Linked DNA regions of Drosophila melanogaster. The protein of the gene in region 1 interacts with the protein of each later gene in a pairwise test. Each region holds a gene or a part of one and is shown in the gene's direction. Other genes may lie near its edges.

What was found. The genes of interacting proteins can lie anywhere in the genome.
Region 2: the proteins of Nmda1 (region 1) and CG14207 interact in a two-hybrid assay, tested with the Drosophila melanogaster proteins (one large-scale study listed by BioGRID).

What each region holds. Positions count from the first base shown.
Region 1 is NT_033778.4:12,873,547-12,881,591, reverse strand, and holds Nmda1 (N-methyl-D-aspartate receptor-associated protein), read left to right. Parts: upstream 1-1,793; 5' UTR 1,794-1,903; intron 1,904-1,935; exon of another isoform or gene 1,936-2,144; intron 2,145-2,218; exon of another isoform or gene 2,219-2,388; coding exon of another isoform or gene 2,389-2,395; exon of another isoform or gene 2,396-2,445; 5' UTR 2,446-2,500; coding exon 2,501-2,540; exon of another isoform or gene 2,541-2,865; coding exon of another isoform or gene 2,866-2,881; coding exon 2,882-3,207; intron 3,208-3,270; coding exon 3,271-3,519; intron 3,520-3,577; coding exon 3,578-3,937; 3' UTR 3,938-4,498; downstream 4,499-8,045. Other genes in the region: AspRS (Aspartyl-tRNA synthetase), read right to left, coding at 1-84, 317-642, 722-802; Lfg (lifeguard), read left to right, coding at 4,802-4,820, 5,385-5,491, 5,649-5,750, 5,813-6,319; Balat (Beta-alanine transporter), read left to right, coding at 6,662-6,774, 6,938-7,253, 7,312-8,045.
Region 2 is NC_004354.4:19,601,592-19,611,501, forward strand, and holds CG14207 (uncharacterized protein), read left to right. Parts: upstream 1-3,607; 5' UTR 3,608-3,912; coding exon 3,913-4,091; intron 4,092-7,871; coding exon 7,872-7,898; intron 7,899-8,546; exon of another isoform or gene 8,547-8,571; coding exon of another isoform or gene 8,572-8,663; intron 8,664-8,789; coding exon 8,790-8,871; intron 8,872-8,936; coding exon 8,937-9,032; intron 9,033-9,104; coding exon 9,105-9,299; 3' UTR 9,300-9,682; downstream 9,683-9,910. Other genes in the region: CG14220 (uncharacterized protein), read right to left, coding at 21-99.

The sequences.
Region 1 (8,045 bases):
AGCGACTGCTCTGTGCAGGATTCAATCTTGCTAGACACCGCCACTGGCTTGGCCTGGATATCAATAATGCTCTCCTTAGGGATACTGAAAAAATAAAGACGTTTTTGAATTATTAAATGAATTATTAAATTTGCAACAACAAAAATTCTAAGCAATGTTTATCATTTCATAAACCTTTAATTGATTTCACGATATCTTATCAAAGTATGATGAAAATATCTATATGGCCTGCGCAATTCAAATTCGATATTGTGCTTTTTTGGGTTACGGCTCTTAAGATAAACTTAAGATATACGAGGGAATATTTATAACTTACTTTCCCGCAAATTTGACCATCTGTTTGGAGATAACATCACCGACAGCCAGGATGCACTGCACCGTGCTGCTCTGCTGGCGCAGGATGAGGAAGCACTGCTTTCCCTTGGCTCTCGAAGTGTGGACGCGTCCTCGCACCCAGACCAGTCCTTTGCCCACCTGACCGCTTAGTTCCGAAACCGGGACAAAGTTGCGTTCACTGCGTTTGTCCTTGGATTGGATCATTTCCGAGAGGCCATATCTTCCGGCGGCGTGATCCTCCGCAGAATCGCCACCAGCGTTATTGGCCGCCGCGGTGGAGGCGTTCTCCGCTTTTTGTTCGGCTTTCTGTACACATAGAGATTAAAGCTGTTATCAGAGGTTCAAGAAAAACAAAACGCCACGTCCCCAAAACAAAGATTCTCACCTTAGCGGCCTTGGCCAGCTTTTTGGCTCCCTTCTTGGAGACCTGCTCCCCGTTGGCCACTTGCTCTTTGTCCTCGACCATCTTGGAATGCACAAAAACGGCTGTAAGGAAGGGAGGGTTGTATATTTTACAAGAGGGTCACAAAACCAGAACGTAGACCACACAGTTTCGATAAGCGAGCAACAGGCGAAAAAGGAGGAGTATTGTGTGCGTTGCGTCATGGTTTTATAAATAGCACTTGGCTGATGAAGTGCCCCATTTGCGAATAAGTGATATTGTCTTCCGGACTGCAGTTCAGTCACCCAGTCTCCTCCTCCAATAGCCATATGTCCACAAATATTTCCGGGGACAGAGAAACACTCTTTGTCTAGCGGCTCGCACATAACCTAAACTTTGCGGTCTTTTATCTGATCATTTACCGATTCTATTCACTTCCTGTCTCTTCCCCTATTGGTTATTTCAATGGTGCATTCGAGTGCACTCGACTTACCAGCTAGATCTTGCCCTTTTAATACACAAACGAATTGATTTCACGAGCGTCGTGTACTATTGCACATGCCACCAGCGCGGTGCAGTCTAGAGGATTTCTATCGCGGCTATCGATATATATCGATTGTTCCATGTGTGCTTCAGGGTGGCGCATTTCTGATTTTGTGACGTCACATGTCCAGCATCCTATGAATTAAGTTGCGCTTAGCTAGTGCTGAAAAATAATATTAGTAAATAAGGAGTATAGTATAGTATAAGAGTTAGTAAGTGCAGAATAATCTCAAAAATAATGAGCATAAGAAAATCTACAGAAGTGCCGTAGTTGAGAAGCTTAAAAAACAAAAGCATCTGTAGCATTTCTCAACATCTGGTGAAGCATTCTTAGTTTAATTACAATACTCTGTATGTTTTAAACATATATAAACGATAGTATATAATTTACAGAAAATGCGCCATAGTGTGGTACGTGTCAAATAAAATTTAAACGCAATAATGTTTAAGCCGAGTTTAATGTAGTCTGTAAATGTACCACTTTCTAAAAAAATTAGTTACACCACCATCGATAATTACAGCTGCGTTCCGATAGCAGTCAGCAGGCACATCTCTGTTAATTTATAGCAAAAAAAAAAAACAAATATTCAGAAAAACAACATTCAATTGTTTGTTTTGATCAAATAGCAACGTAATCCAGAGGTAATTAGTCATCCAAAGAGCATAATTTGAATAATGGGAAGATAGTAGGTCACGTCAAAGAAAATTATAATAGTGTGGTTTCCCGGTAATTTCGAGAAGCTGGCAATTTCCAAAAGTGAGTCACCACTTTTCCTACACCGAGCTGCTGTGTATGTATTATTTGCGCTGGTGGTGCTCCGGCTGAACTAATTTAATAGCTGCGACTACGTTAAAGCGCTTAAGCTCGCAGTTCAGCGTGTAGGTAAGGTTCATAAATGGCCCCAGCTATTTTCAGAGAACCCACACAAGAAAGCTTGAGAGGTACACGTCATGGGGGCCACAACAAACGAAACGGTGCCGAAGTTTCTCAGGCATTACTATAGTGGCAAATTGATTGATAATTAAAGTTGCATGCCACCAAAGGTGTGCACATTTCTTAGACACTAATTAAATTAGCTAATGATTGCTTATCATCGTGTCTTTGCAGGTAAAACAACAACGAAACAATGCAAGGTGAGTGGAATAAGGACAAGCCGTACTAACACATTCTTTTTGGATCTAAGTTTACTCCACAGCGGTTTCGGAATTACATAGAAATCAGAGCGAAGTCCCTCGAGAATGTCCTGGCAAAGTGTTCCCCAGTATCCCCAATACCAAGGTTCAATCTTCTTAACTTCTAAGCGAGTGTTACAGCTTACCCGTTTTCTGATCGCATGCTTTTGTTCGTCCCGGGGCTTGTCGACCCGTTGAATGCTCAGTAATTGCCCAGAGCTGATTCATTTCCATTACCTCTCTCTCTTTACACATCGTACTTGTCCCTTCTTATCATGGTTGTATGTACATATTTGCTCGAGATTGTTTCTTGGTTTACCGCATCTCTTCGTCACGGCGAAGCGTTTCATTTAGATTTTACAGTTCTTGGTAGACAGATTGCTGTAGCGAACGCGTTGGTAGCACCGTTTTAGATGACAAACTAAAACGAGATGTCTTATTTCGCAGATCCCAACCAGCAGTACAACTATGGCGGCGGTAATCCCCCGCAGGGAGGATATGGTGGATATCCACCTCAGGGCGGCTATCCACCTCAAGGACCGCCGCAAGGCTACCCACCCTATGCACAAGGAGGTGCTCAACCCTATCCACAGCCCTACGGACAGGGGCCTCCACCGGGAGGTTATGCTCCCCAGCCGGGATTTATCCAACCACCACCATCTGCTGGCGGCTACGGAGCCTACGATGATCCGGAGAGCCAGCCCAAGAACTTCTCGTTTGACGACCAAAGCATCCGTCGCGGATTCATACGTAAGGTGTACCTGATTCTAATGGTGAGCTTTAGATAATTCTGCATAGAAGGCATGTACAATAAGTTATCATTTCTGTGTCATTAGGGACAACTAATCGTCACTTTTGGAGCTGTTGCCCTGTTTGTATACCACGAGGGCACTAAAACCTTTGCCAGGAATAACATGTGGCTCTTTTGGGTTGCCCTCGGCGTAATGTTAGTAACCATGCTGTCTATGGCTTGCTGCGAAAGTGTGCGCCGCCAAACACCGACGAACTTCATATTCTTGGGTCTGTTTACAGCAGCTCAGTCGTTCTTAATGGGAGTTTCCGCAACCAAATATGCTCCGAAAGAGGTGAGTACTTCGATTTAATTACGATATGTAGTAAAGTGATACGATATCTGTTTTCCAGGTTCTCATGGCGGTGGGCATAACAGCAGCGGTTTGCTTGGCCCTAACGATCTTCGCCTTGCAGACAAAGTACGACTTTACTATGATGGGCGGTATTTTGATCGCCTGCATGGTGGTGTTCCTGATCTTCGGCATCGTGGCCATCTTTGTAAAGGGAAAGATCATAACACTGGTGTACGCCTCGATTGGAGCGCTGCTCTTCTCCGTTTATCTCATCTACGACACACAGTTAATGATGGGCGGCGAGCACAAATACTCTATCAGTCCCGAGGAGTACATCTTTGCGGCACTAAACCTCTACCTGGACATCATCAATATCTTCATGTACATTCTGACTATAATCGGCGCATCGCGCGACTAAGTTCCGCTCTATTTCCAAATATTGTTTGCAGCTTAATCGGGTTATTCAGTAACCTGGAATACACGAATATTGTTGTCGCGTAATCTCATCGGTGTGCTCCCCCAGTGGAGGTAATCTTCAACTAACGAATTACTCAAATACTTACAAATCTATCTACTTCGTGTTGTGTTTGCCCATTTTCCCCGTTTCCTTCTAGTTCTAAATGTCAACTAAGGCTATATGAACTACTTACTTTTTGTTATGTATGTTTTATTGTTGCTTAAGTTGAGGCGCAAACCAAGTGGATATTTCCAAATTTAAAAATAAAAAAATTATATATATGTATGTATACCAAATGATATGCCATTCAGATAAACGAAACAACAATAAATAGTCACGTATAAACATATTTATGTAAAAATATACATATAAGCAAGTTGGCTTGCAGTTGTTAACACATAAAACTTAACCGTGTGTAATAACCAAGGAATCCCGATTTTCAACTATGAATCAAGTACCGAACATTGTAATCCCTGCAGCGACACTGAGTTTAAAGTCAACAATAAAGCGCATCTATTTATTAAAGCCACAGACCCCTGCATTGTAGGGCTTCCGTCAGTGGTTCATCCAGTTCAACCAGCCAGCCACCACCAGATGCAACTTTAGTCTGCGACTTCAGAGCGACGCCGTTGGTTGGATTACTTCTACACTCCAGACCATTATCGTCTGCATTTTTGCTTTATCATTGCTTAAGTTAACTTTGTTATCTGCACCACCACAGAAAGAAGTCCGGGTGTTTTAATTTCGGGTTGGCCCCATATCATGCGTTTGACCCGGCCACCTGTTCAGTAGTTCGTGTGAATTCCAGCAGGGCGTAGCTATAAAATGTATCACTACCAGCAAGGTAAGTACCGCCCGGATTGGGCTGAAACCAAACCAAATTGGCTACGGAAAGGTGCTTTAGATTAGATAATCGATTTGGCTATTGTATAAAGCTTATTGACTGCATCGTTTTCTCTCAGTAAGAGCCAACAAAATATATCTCTCTCGGCGCATTTTCATCTGATAAGACAGCTGAAAAGGTTTCGTTATGAGCCCAAAAACAGTGATTCACCCAATCGAAGGGAGAGTGAACAACCATTTTGAAATTGTATGGTGGCAATATCAGTTACTCACCGACATCAATACACAAATCTTATCTAGAGTAGAAGTGTGGGGCTGTGATAAGAGCCGGTAACCGGCTAATCTCAACTCATACGTCCATATGGGAACACCTAGAAAGGGCGATTCGGTTCCATTAAGCTGAAACACTAGCACGCTGCCGGCAGTCGGGCAAAGAGAGCACCGTAACTTAAGTGACTAAAGTTTAGTCATAGCAATTTAGCCATGAGCAGCGACAATCATTTTCAGTACGGTTAGTCATTGCATTAACTTTCCTGCTTCCTTGAATTGTCTTCCAACCACACAGGCGATGAAACTGGCGCATACACAGATGCGGAAGCGGACAAGAGCTTCGCCTTCGATGACCAGAGCATCCGGAAGGGATTTATTCGAAAGGTCTACTTGATATTGATGGTAAGTGCTGATATTTGAACTGAAAAAGAAAATATCAATTTAAATTGTCCAAAAATAAAGGTATTTGCTTCACTACTTGTCTGCTTTGGGTCACTTTAAAACTTCAAGATTTATTGACTTCCTGCAATCTAATTTTGATATCGCGCTCTATTTCTAGTGCCAATTGCTGATCACTTTCGGTTTTGTTAGCGTATTTACGTTCTCGAAAGCTTCGCAGGAATGGGTGCAAAAAAATCCGGCACTGTTTTGGATAGCCTTGGTAAGTTTTTACGACTTTTATGCTAAATATTGAATACAAATATATCCAATTTTTAAACTCAGGCCGTTCTTATCGTGACCATGATCTGTATGGCCTGCTGCGAAAGTGTACGCCGTAAGACGCCTCTTAACTTCATCTTTCTTTTCCTGTTCACCGTGGCGGAGTCGTTCCTTCTGGGTATGGTCGCCGGACAGTTTGAGGCTGATGAGGTCCTGATGGCAGTGGGAATTACGGCCGCGGTGGCCCTGGGACTCACCCTGTTTGCCCTGCAGACCAAATACGATTTTACGATGTGCGGAGGAGTGTTGGTGGCCTGTCTGGTGGTCTTCATCATTTTTGGTATAATCGCTATCTTCATACCGGGCAAGGTGATCGGACTGGTCTATGCCTCCTTGGGAGCATTGCTCTTCTCCGTTTACTTGGTGTACGATACCCAGTTGATGCTGGGTGGTAATCATAAGTACTCCATCAGTCCTGAGGAATACATCTTCGCCGCTCTAAACCTCTACCTGGACATTATTAACATCTTCATGTACATACTGACCATTATCGGATTGTCTCGCAATTAGACTGGTCATTATGATCCATAGCTTCTATTCCAGTTTTAGAAATGTAACTTAATTTTATGTGCCCAGTGCCACCTTAGCCGGAAAGAAATACAAGACGACTAACTAATCCAACATTGTCGAGTGCTCGCTTTGGTTTGGGATTTTGGCTGGGATTGGGGCGCGCTCAACTAGTTCGAACCTTGTCCACACCGCGGTGTCCAATTAATTAATGCGCACGAGAGGCCGTAATGTAATTATGTTCAATCAGCCCCTGCAGCGCCACCAGTTCCTGGACTGGATTGAATGTGGACAAGGTGATCGGCGCGATCGTCAGTTGCGCGAGCGTCTGGCTAACGGGCGGACATGGATTTCGACGAGGTGCTGCGGGAGGTGGGCTCCTTTGGTCTCTACCAGAAGGTCATCATCTGTTCCGTTCTATTGCCCGCCGCGCTGCCCTGTGCCTTCCACGCATATAGGTTGGTCATCCTTCTTTGGTATTCTATAATAATAATATTGAAAAAGAAATCTTAATGGGATTTTCACATCCATGCGATAGCATCATTTGGGGTCTACCTTTTCGCCTCTTAAAGGTACCTCATCAGAAAATTTTCATAATTATCTAAAATGATTATTTTCTAGCCAGTTGTTCATAGCGGCCACACCTCAGCACTTTTGTCGCGTTCCTGAGCTGGAGCCCTGGACGCAGGACTATGTGCAGCTTGTTAAGAACCTGAGCATTCCGCGTAATCGCAATGGAGCCTATGCCGAGTGTTCCATGTACTCGAGAAATTACACCGATATAGTGCGCTATCTTGAGTATCGACCTCCTCCGGATTTGTTGCGACAACAGGCAGAGGATTTGCTCAAGTTGCAGCCGGATACGACGCAGGTGGTGCCGTGCCAACATGGCTGGCACTACGACAAGTCCATATACTCAAGTACGGTGGTTCAAGAGGTGGGGATTTTCCAATTGGATATGGTATGTTAGAATTATTTCCTCATATATCTTGCAGTGGAACCTGGTGTGCGACCGCAGCTTCCTTGTGACTTTGGCGCTTGTGGTCTTCGGTGTTGGCGGATTGCTAGGTAACTATGTATTTGGATATCTAGTGGATCTGTGGGGCAGGCGGCCATCCTTTTACGCTTATCTGCTGCTCGAGATCATTGCCTGTGCGGCCAGTGCCTTTGCCTGGAACTATTACACTTGGTTGGGCCTGCGCTTTGTGGTGGGACTGACGGTGCCAGCTATTCTGGCGAGTCCCTATGTACTGGCCATTGAGCTGGTGGGACCGGAGAGGAGAGTTTTTTGCACCATCGTCTCGAATATCGCCTACTCCTTGGGCTTGGTGGTATTAGCCGGAGTTATCTATATCGTACGTGATTGGCGGGAACTCAGTTTGGCAGTGTCCATGCCTTTGCTGATGCTTTTCTCCTGCTTCTTCGTGCTTCCGGAATCACCACGATGGTTAATGGCCGTGGGAAAAACCAGGAGGGCCATTAAAATTCTCAAAGTAATGGCCAGAGTGAATGGTGTGCGCGTAAATCGGGATTTTGTGGAACGGTTGCAGCGAAAACTTGTCATCACAAGGGCTGCGGAAACCAAATCTTCAATGACCACCCACTATGGGATATTGGACTTGTTTCGGGGACCCAATATGCGTCGGAAGACCCTGATCATAACCCTTATTTGGTTTGCCAACACCAGTGTCTACGTGGGACTGAGTTATTATGCTCCTGCGCTAGGAGG
Region 2 (9,910 bases), on another chromosome or scaffold:
GTCTGCGTACTGGTACTCACCTTCTTCGCTACGCTCGTCGCCTATCGACTCGTCGTCGTAGGTGTCCGCTTGTAGTAGTAGACTGTAGTAGTTGGACATGGTCGTGTTGGTGGGTTCAGAACTCGCGGCTTTGAAACTTGATACCCAAAATCAACAATTTGGTGGCAATTGTTTATTATTATTTATTTTTTTCGCTGCGATGCCAGATATACACACGCATACAGTGAAGCAACCACGGCAGTATCGATATATCGAGCACGAGGGCTATCGATCGTTGTCCAGCTCTATGGACTTTTGGCGGCAGGGTTGTCTATCTACCGATAACATTACTCATCGGATATCGTGATTATATGCGCGCGTAGTTCAAACTTTTGATTTTGAAATGGCCATTGTTACAGCCATTTCTGTGCTAAACCAAAAAATTATATATATATATATAAATTCCATTTCAGTAATATGAACATAAATTATTTTATTACCTAAAAATTCTTCAAATTCTATTAAATTTCCTTTTGTATTTATAAATTGCTTAGCTGTAAATTTATCAATTAAACAGACAACCAAACCAAAATGTTCTGTATATGCATATGTAGGAAAATTGTGGTAATTGCTTCATTTATTAGTCCATTGTTATTGAATTTAAATTTTGATGACGCACTATCCATGACATCAGCGGATATATTTCAAAAATATGTCACCGGGCTAGAATGGAATTGAATTACAGCTACAGCTTTGTGGGTGTAATTTAATTGAGCAACTCACGGCTCTGGTGCTAAACAAAAATGATTTAAGCCGTGAACGGCTTACGGTTTCGAACAATAAATAGCCGACTGTCGTTTTTGCGCTTCATAAAGTTTAATTTGTGTATCTGCCCGCCTATAATTAAATAGTGCCCGCACAGGCGCTGCACTCGTACGTATACGTAATACGCGTTTACACTTATGTACATAAATATGTACATACATGTCCAACAATCCAACAATCCGCATGGGCGAAAGCATACTTTGTTTGAATACCACGACGGCTGACATATATTCCGATGCTGTCGTCAAGCAGAAGCCATCCACTGGCCGCCAGTGGATGAGTCTGCCCACGCAGGAGTAGATCGCTATTTGGTCGAGCTGAAAAATTAGTGAGCGCTCATCGTCGACCAAAAATTCCATGCTAAATCATCGCGAGTAAATTTTGATTGATTTCTGACTGCGAGGGGGTGGCTAGGTGGCTGCTGGCTCGCTGGCTAGCTATACATTTCGTTTTATTTTGTTTTTGTTTTTTTCGATTTGGAATGGACTATGAGTTTAAGTGGGATGACATGCCGGCAAATGACTAGAGCACTTATATATATACACTTATATATATATATATAAATATATGTATATACACTTGCTCTGCTTTAGCTTCGTCGAGAATTCTCTGGTGACGTGGGGAAAATTTGTTTTCCCAATTTCTTGTCGATCTTCACGAGATTTGTACATTCGTATGTACATATGTATGTACAATATGTACGTTCTTTCAGTTGGCTTGGCAAAACAATAATACACATACTGCACACTCATGTTTCTAGATGATTCCTACAATATTTATTAGATCCACCTAGATCATTGGAATTTATGAAATCAAACAAAATTGATTTGAATGATTTGAAAAGGCACAAAATACAATTGAATTAAGACTGAAACGTGCACGAATGTGCAAACTTGGAATCCTCTTTTCAAAAATTAATTTTGTTTGAATACCGATATGTATGCTTTGTGGGGACACTGGGGACTTCAAGGTCGAGATTATTGATGAAAATGAGTTTGTTGTTTGGACAGGGGGCATTAGCCATTAGCCATTGCGAGCATGTGGGCGCTGTGAAAAATACATATGTACATATGTACACATGTATGTATGGATGTACAATGAAAACACCTCAGCCGTTAAGCCACGATGATTGTCGTTTTATTTTCGAAATTCGTGATTAAGTCTATAATTATTTTGATGGCACAACTGCCGTTGTCCCCGATGGAATTTCGAGCAGTAAAACGGTCACGGATTCAAAATATTGCATTTTAATATGTCGCACTTGCACTTAAAAAAAAAAAACAAAAGAATGTAAGTTATGTGCAGGCAATAACAGCTTTAAAAGATATCAAATTTCCAGCTAATGAGTTTTCTTATGGATGAGAGATGCAATTGTTAAGTTGAAGAAAAATCTAGTTTGTCTAGCTAAATATGCATATGGTTCATAAAACTTATGAATATATATCGCACATTTTTTCTGCAGTTGCAACTTTGCAATCCGGCTCTCATTAATTTCAATTTAAATTTTAATTCCCCTGGCCGACGCTCCCTAAAAGGAATTGAATCGAATCGAATGGACTCGACTTGGCTCGATTCCCGATTCTCGACTCCGACCGCCAATGTCACGCGGCTGAGTCATTTCGCATTTGTTTACAAACAAACCGATGCGGCGGAGTGGGTAGTACCATGGATATGGCCAAGCACACTGGCAGAAAACGACACAGATACTAAGATACTATAATGCCTCTCTGTTAGATTAGGAAACATATCCTATTATAGCTAACAAGCTTACAACAGTACAATTTCCAATCTTAGCTCAGCATAGAGATATTTAAATTTACATATGTATATATGACATATATTTTTCTGCGTGTATTTGGGCCGCCAACGTTCTCCACCCACCCGGTCTAATATTGGGATTTATCGATTCGCACAATGGGCGGAATTGGCTTTTTGATTTAAGGTCTTAATGATGATGAGCTCTGGGTGTAAGTAACCCCGCGAATATGGACAAGATATCGTGGGCCATCACGCCATAGATGTTCTATTTTAGGACGATGGATAATGCCAACCCACCGCAGGACGGAAAATGCACTTTCCACCAATGTGCAACTCTCTCTCTCTCTCTCTCTCTTTCTCTCTATACCGAAGATCATTTCCCAAAACGGTAGGAAGCGTTGATCGGTTAACCGGTTAACTCAACACGACTCATACTCACACTTTCCACTCGCACTCACAGCACACAAATGCTGAACCAGATGCAATTGGAATCACAGTTCGAGGAACTCACTTCCATGACTGAATGGCTCCCACGCGAGAAGTTTTAAGCATACTTATCAAGATCAAGTTGATCATCAACTAATTAATTGTTGCTAATTGAACACTTGTTCCTAGAAAGTTTTTTAGGAGCTTTGAAATGTGTTATGTTATTTCATTGCATTTATGAATTACTAGCTTATTAACGGAAAATAAATCATGGCTTCCTTGTTTTCGGTCATTTTGTATAAACCAAATTTGTCTTACAACTATTGTTTCACTTCTAAATGTGTTCCCCGTGCGTCATTATTTCCATAAAATACAAAATCAATACAGCGAATATAGTGTTTTGGGTGGTCCGCTAACGATTAGTGGTTAAAGTACGCTTAAACAATTCCCTTTGCGGATAGAAGTTCTTTTTGATCCAATGGCAATAGAAACATAATCAAATCCGCAAATCGATGACTAAATGCGGCTTCATCGGTCTATCGATATCGCCACACTGCTGCGCAGCGGCAATCGAAGTACAATCGGTACGAAAGCTATAAAAGCAAAGACACACTGTGAATGCAAAACAGTTCAGAAATTGAAACGCGGCTATCTGTGCGATACGTCCAACCGAAATCACACACTTGAACGTCTTGAGTTTCGAATACATATAGAAAACCCATCGAGTTCCCTTTTTTTTTGGTTGCTCCGTCGATTAGCAAGTGAACAAGCTCGAAAGCGCGTTGAGCAGAACAGAACAGAACAGAGAATAATAGAACGGTATACAGTATATACAGTATATACGGTATACAGTGTACAGCGAAGAGATTGGAGATTCCATCTAGCGAAGCAACCACCAAATAAACCACCACAAACAGCACAACAATGGCCGAGGCTAACAAGAGGAATATCCCCATCAAGCTGGGCGACTTCAGCGTCATCGACACGGAGTTCAGCAACATCCGCGAGCGCTTCGACTCCGAGATGCGCAAAATGGAGGAGGAGATGGCCAAGTTCCGTCACGAGCTGATGAACCGCGAGGCGAACTTCTTCGAGTCCACCAGGTAAGCGTAATAGTGATACAAGTGGGATCCCAACACTGGGATAATTCCACATAGCCTGATTCTACCGGGTGTACTGCGATGGAACCCAATCCCGAATCGCTCGACTCATCGCCTCGTTGTTGGCTCCTCTAAATATAGGCGCACATCTTGCCACATCGCCCACTGGTCTGGAGCTCTTCACCCACAGATTCTCCTACGTATGTACATATGTACATACGTGCATACATACATATGTATGTACTAAACAGTGGGCCTCATAGGAGGCGAGCGGCCCGCTTCAATTCTCGCCCCAGATACACTATGTGTATTTCTTTGCCGTCGCTCTGGGGGAGGATGAGTCACCAGTTCTAAATTCTCCGCCGCTGTCTCCGGCCAAGAAACACATGTGTATCTGCTGCCCGCCACCCGCTAGTAAATCCCCCTCCCCCGCCCCGGCACATGGCTAGCCAGCGTCTTGTGCCCTCCCCTTTCGCTCGATCTCGAGTCCCATACGGTTTATGCAACCGTTATGTAGGGCATAACGGAATTTTTCGAACTTTGAGAATCACCTGTGCCAAGATATTCCGTTATATGTGTGTGTGTGTGTGGGTTTCTAGCTGAGCAGAAAAATGTAATTGTTGATAATGAGATAAGATATTAAAATCTGGTCTCTGCGAGCAAAATTAAATATTTGAAAACGCAAAGCATTGAAACGATCGGTGGCACACATGAATAATGTTCATTAAATCTCTAACTATTTCCATTTGTAGTTACTTGTTTTTAAAGCATACATAAGTGACAAACGCGTTTACCTAGCAATCTATTTCCATTTGCAAGTCAATTAAGTGATTCGGCGGTATTTTAACACCCTCGCATATTCATACGAATCAGAGAGAGGGAGAGAGAGAAATTCCAGTTGAATGTTACGAGTGGCATTTTCAATGAACATAGGTTTATTGCCCAAATCAGCGATTAATAAACAAACAATGCCCCAAAGGCGAATGGCAAATACTATGTCGCCGACGCCGTCGCGGTTGCGCGTCTCGTTAGCCTTTCCATTGGAGTTGCGTTGCGTGGGCGCCAGTTTTGGTTGCTATTGGGACGACCTCGCCGTATGACGCAATCGAACCGATGGACTCTATTTGTTGTTGCCTTCGCCATGGTCGCCACTGCATTTGCATGGCCACAACAGAAATGTTACGACTCCACCCCCCTCCCCCCCACCAGACTTCCGTCTGTTTCAGAACTTGGTAGCGCTCCTCTCCACAACTTTGCCCATTCAACGTCAAAGTTGGCAGTGAAAGGAAATTAACCCAAATTGGTATTGTGCCCTCCTGGCTGCAAATTTAATTGGAAATGAAGGGAAACTCACAGTGGCGGCATAAGTTGTGCGCCAGGGCTTGCTTCGGGCGATTAGCCTAATAATCGCCACAGATTGGCCACGTAGTTTAGTAGCTTAGTAGTAGTATTGGATATATACTTGCCAAATAATTCAATCATTCGCCCATAACTGCCCACTGTCCGCAACCTTTGACCTAAGCGGCTTGGCTGTGGCTGTGGCGTGTTGTCAATTGAAGCGCTGCGTGATATCTGAATGACTCAGCACGGAATAAACGCACGCCCCATATACAGGGCAATAAATCCATACAGGTAGGTGTATCTATGCCCTACCGAAGTTGCCACTTGAAGCAATAGTTTATGCTTTTAACTGGATACATTCCCAACAATGTATATTTTATTATTATGGCATAAGAAAAACATGTTTACAAACATGCAATTCCTGCGTAGCTGCCAAAAGCTGTTCAGGCCATTTGCACATTTTAAATAAAACTTTCTTGAACATATGTATGTATATACATACATATGTGTATGTATGTACGTACTGTCACATACTAACGATAGATTGTGTGTAGTGCAGGGCCTCATTTAACCAACTTGGCCATAAGCAAAGACCGCACATCAATGCTGGCGCCTTCAGATATGAACAATGTGCGGATTCAGATGGATTTGGATGCGGTTCCCAGTAAAATAGATTGGTGCGATTATCTCATGCAAATGCATGGAAATTGTATTGGCCAGATCGGATCGGATGGGATGGGATGGCTACCAAACATAGGCAATGCCAACGGTTTGCCTAATTTATAGACTCATTGTGTGTGCGCACAGTTTAAACAAATAAGTGCGCTAGGATCGTACATACATACATACATATGCACATATTTAACCAGCAAATAGATCTGTGCGAAAAGCTTTCGCACACACGGACAGTTTTCAGTTGCGATGAGCACACGCTGCGGCGATTTAGTTGCCAATATTGTTGGCTGGATGCTGATAATTCAAATGAGCAGCGAACTGCGATGATATCATGTCAATTTTTAGCTATTGCGCTGCGCTTCGACTCGATGCTATTCAATTCGATTTCAATCGATGACAAAACGCCGATCGTCGTCGATAATCGATATTTTAATTCGACATTTGTTCACACACACACGCACACACGCGTACACCGCAAACAACTAAAGAGAGCCATTTTGTTTGCGCTTGTTCTGGTTTTTTGGCCGCCTCTCGCGCCCGTGTTTATTTTCGTTCTTCTTTGGTTTCCTTTCGTTTGGCTTTTCAATAACGAAAAAATATGCATGACATCATTGTCATCAGATGCCAGCGAGATATTGTAGTCGCACCACACACACACAACTCACACACATGTAAAAACGTGGGCTGGCCGGAGAGGGTGGGAGTGAGAGCGGCTGCCAGAGTGGGAGGGCAGGTGCCTCTTCATGCTGTCCAAAGAAACTTTGGCCAGGCGGCTAACGGTTATTGGTACTTATCATTAGCGCGCTATTGATTTCTCTCTTCGAGGGGCGATCAACCTCGCAAAGCACATTGCAAGGTCGCCAATAAGCCCACGCACGTTCACGTTTCGGCTCCGATTGATAAGCTTTCTCTGCCTCTGCTCAGAATTTGCGGAGTGCCAATTGATGGCCGCTTATCAACGACTCTCGCTCGCATGCACACACACACAGATACACACATACATTTTGGCTTCATCGCCGACACGCACAGCGGCTTAACGGTCAATCAAATCCCGTAAGCTAAGAATGCAAATTAAGGTGAACCATAAAAAATATTTAAAAAAAAACGACTTACCTATCAATTGATGTGAGAGTGAAGTGAAGAATACAATATTATTTAAAATGAAATCACAAAATTTTAATAAGTGTAGATTTACTAATTTGAACTAAAAATAAAAATTATTGTGAAAAAGCAGTGCGACAAAATGTAATACAAAGTGAACAATTATGGACCAATGAATTATTTCCTGGGTAAATATGTAAATATTTTATGCATACTTTCCTCTATTGTAGGTAATATACATATTCTTTTTTTTTAGATGCTATGCTTGAAACACTTGGATCTTAATAGATAAACTTGCATTCTAAAGGAAATTGGGGACTGGAAGTGCGGAAAACAAAGGAGTTATCATTAATATATGTACATATGCATAAGAAACATGTACCAAAAATGATTAAATATTAATTACAAGAAAACATATGAATGGCTTGAAATTTTCATTGATCATTGTTAAAAATTCCAGAACTTTAATATCGAGTCAAGGCTGTACCTTTATAAAATAGTTAAAAAATTGCTCACCCTTGTACGATAATGTGTAGTTATCTTTTTGTCTAACTCATTATAAACAATTTCTATCTATTTTTCTCTTTCTTGCCGCTTGGAAATATTAAACAACCGCAATAATTTCCACATAATAATAATCTCCTCTCCTCTCTCTTAAAACAAAAGCTCTACTAAAAAAACAACAACTACCAGGTACAATAACGTAGAAAGTTTACAACCTAAACTTTTATTTTCTGTTTATCCTCAATGTTTTTTTCATTCACTCAACCCCTTATTGTTTGGTAACTAATGTATTGGTTTAATGTTATTGCAATCCACACAGACTAAACTAGAAACTCGTTACCAGATGCATCGCATGTTAATCGCCAAATATACACTATAACATTTATTTATAAACAATTTTGAGCCCGGTATAGACGCAAATACATAACTAGAAATGCATACAGTTCGTTTAAAACTAAAAGATAAAATTATAAAAGTTGTAAGTATAGGCAGTTTTTCATAATAGAAAACCGTTTTGATGCGATCCATACATACATATGTACATACATAGATACATATGTATGCATACAATTTCAAGGAAGCAAGGAATAGTTTTATTTGTAGTCTAGATACATGAAGCCTTAATTCTCAATTCCCTTATGGGTAGTTCCTTAAAATAGAAATTATTACAGACATATGGGGAGATTTATGTTTCGAGGGTGACAGCTGCTGCCCCCAGATCCGTACACATGTACATACATACATACGTACATCGCTTTCAAGCGGAAGCCAGATCTATTATTAGACAGGCGTCGAGCATCGCGGCTTCATTTAAGTTGGGTTCGTTACGTCCGGATCAGTTTCATCCCGGAGAAGCATCAGCATGGAGGCCTTTACGCGCACACTGCAAAATACCTTTCGCAGCACTAGGACCACCAGAACCACTACTACAACAACCACAAACTCCTCCACCAGGTTCCTACCTCACCTACGCAACCCTAACACCTTTGGTTTTATTTCGAGTCTACTTGTTCTTAAGTTTCGCTTCAACACTCAACTGCAATACTCATGTACAATATGTTCGTCTCAACTTATTTGCAGCTCAACGACAAACTCGGCGCTGCCATCCCGAATCCCAAAGCAACAGAACTACGTCTCCGACATTAGCTCACCCTTGATCCAGGTAAGCAATGCAAGGAATCTACTCTTGGTTGCCAAAGGATAACACTTATATATCCCCCTTTGCAGGATGAGGGCGATAACAAAGTGCTGAAGCTGCGTTTCGATGTCAGCCAGTATGCGCCCGAGGAAATTGTTGTGAAAACCGTCGACCAGAAGCTATTGGTAAGTCTCTGCTCAGGATGGTTATGTTTTGCAGAGTTTATCTAACATGGATATCTGATTCCTTTCGACTAGGTGCACGCCAAGCACGAGGAGAAGTCGGACACAAAGAGCGTGTACAGGGAGTACAATCGGGAGTTCCTGCTGCCCAAGGGCGTCAATCCCGAGTCCATCCGCTCGTCCCTCAGCAAGGACGGAGTCCTGACCGTGGACGCCCCCCTGCCAGCACTCACCGCCGGCGAGACACTGATTCCCATTGCGCACAAGTGAAGGCCAGCCCAGTTGTCCAGTTGTCCAGCTATCCAGTCACCATGGTCCCAAGCCGGTTGAGGAGCAATAGGCGCAGGAGGAGCAGGAGGAGTGCGAGCTGCTGCCGATCAGATTAAATCCATACACACATTGAGTTTAATCCAATCCTATCTAAATGATTAATTTTTTTGGTTCTGACTTAAAGCTAAACTATGTTACTGACGTACTACTCATTAACTTAAATATAATTGAAATTATTATTAAATTTGATTAATTTAATTCATATTTATAATTTTCGCATTAAACGTAATCAATTTTGCCGTAGTTGCCCCCCATTGGTTTTCCTTTCCTTCCATCGAAAATAAATTAAATATATATCCAACTGAGCGGATTTTGATCAGCGGATTTGTGCATCATTGACTAATTAGCTGCTGCTGAGCCATTTTCACTTTTTAAACGCTGAATTGAAATGATGATGTGCCTTTCCCTTTAGGGAATCGTGAGGCTTGAATAAAGTATATGGATTTCATTTATATTTGACTGTGGTGAATGATATTATTTATGATACAATACAACTTTTCTTTGCAATCGAATATACGGGGATATTTTAAATGGGGAAAAAATCCATCATA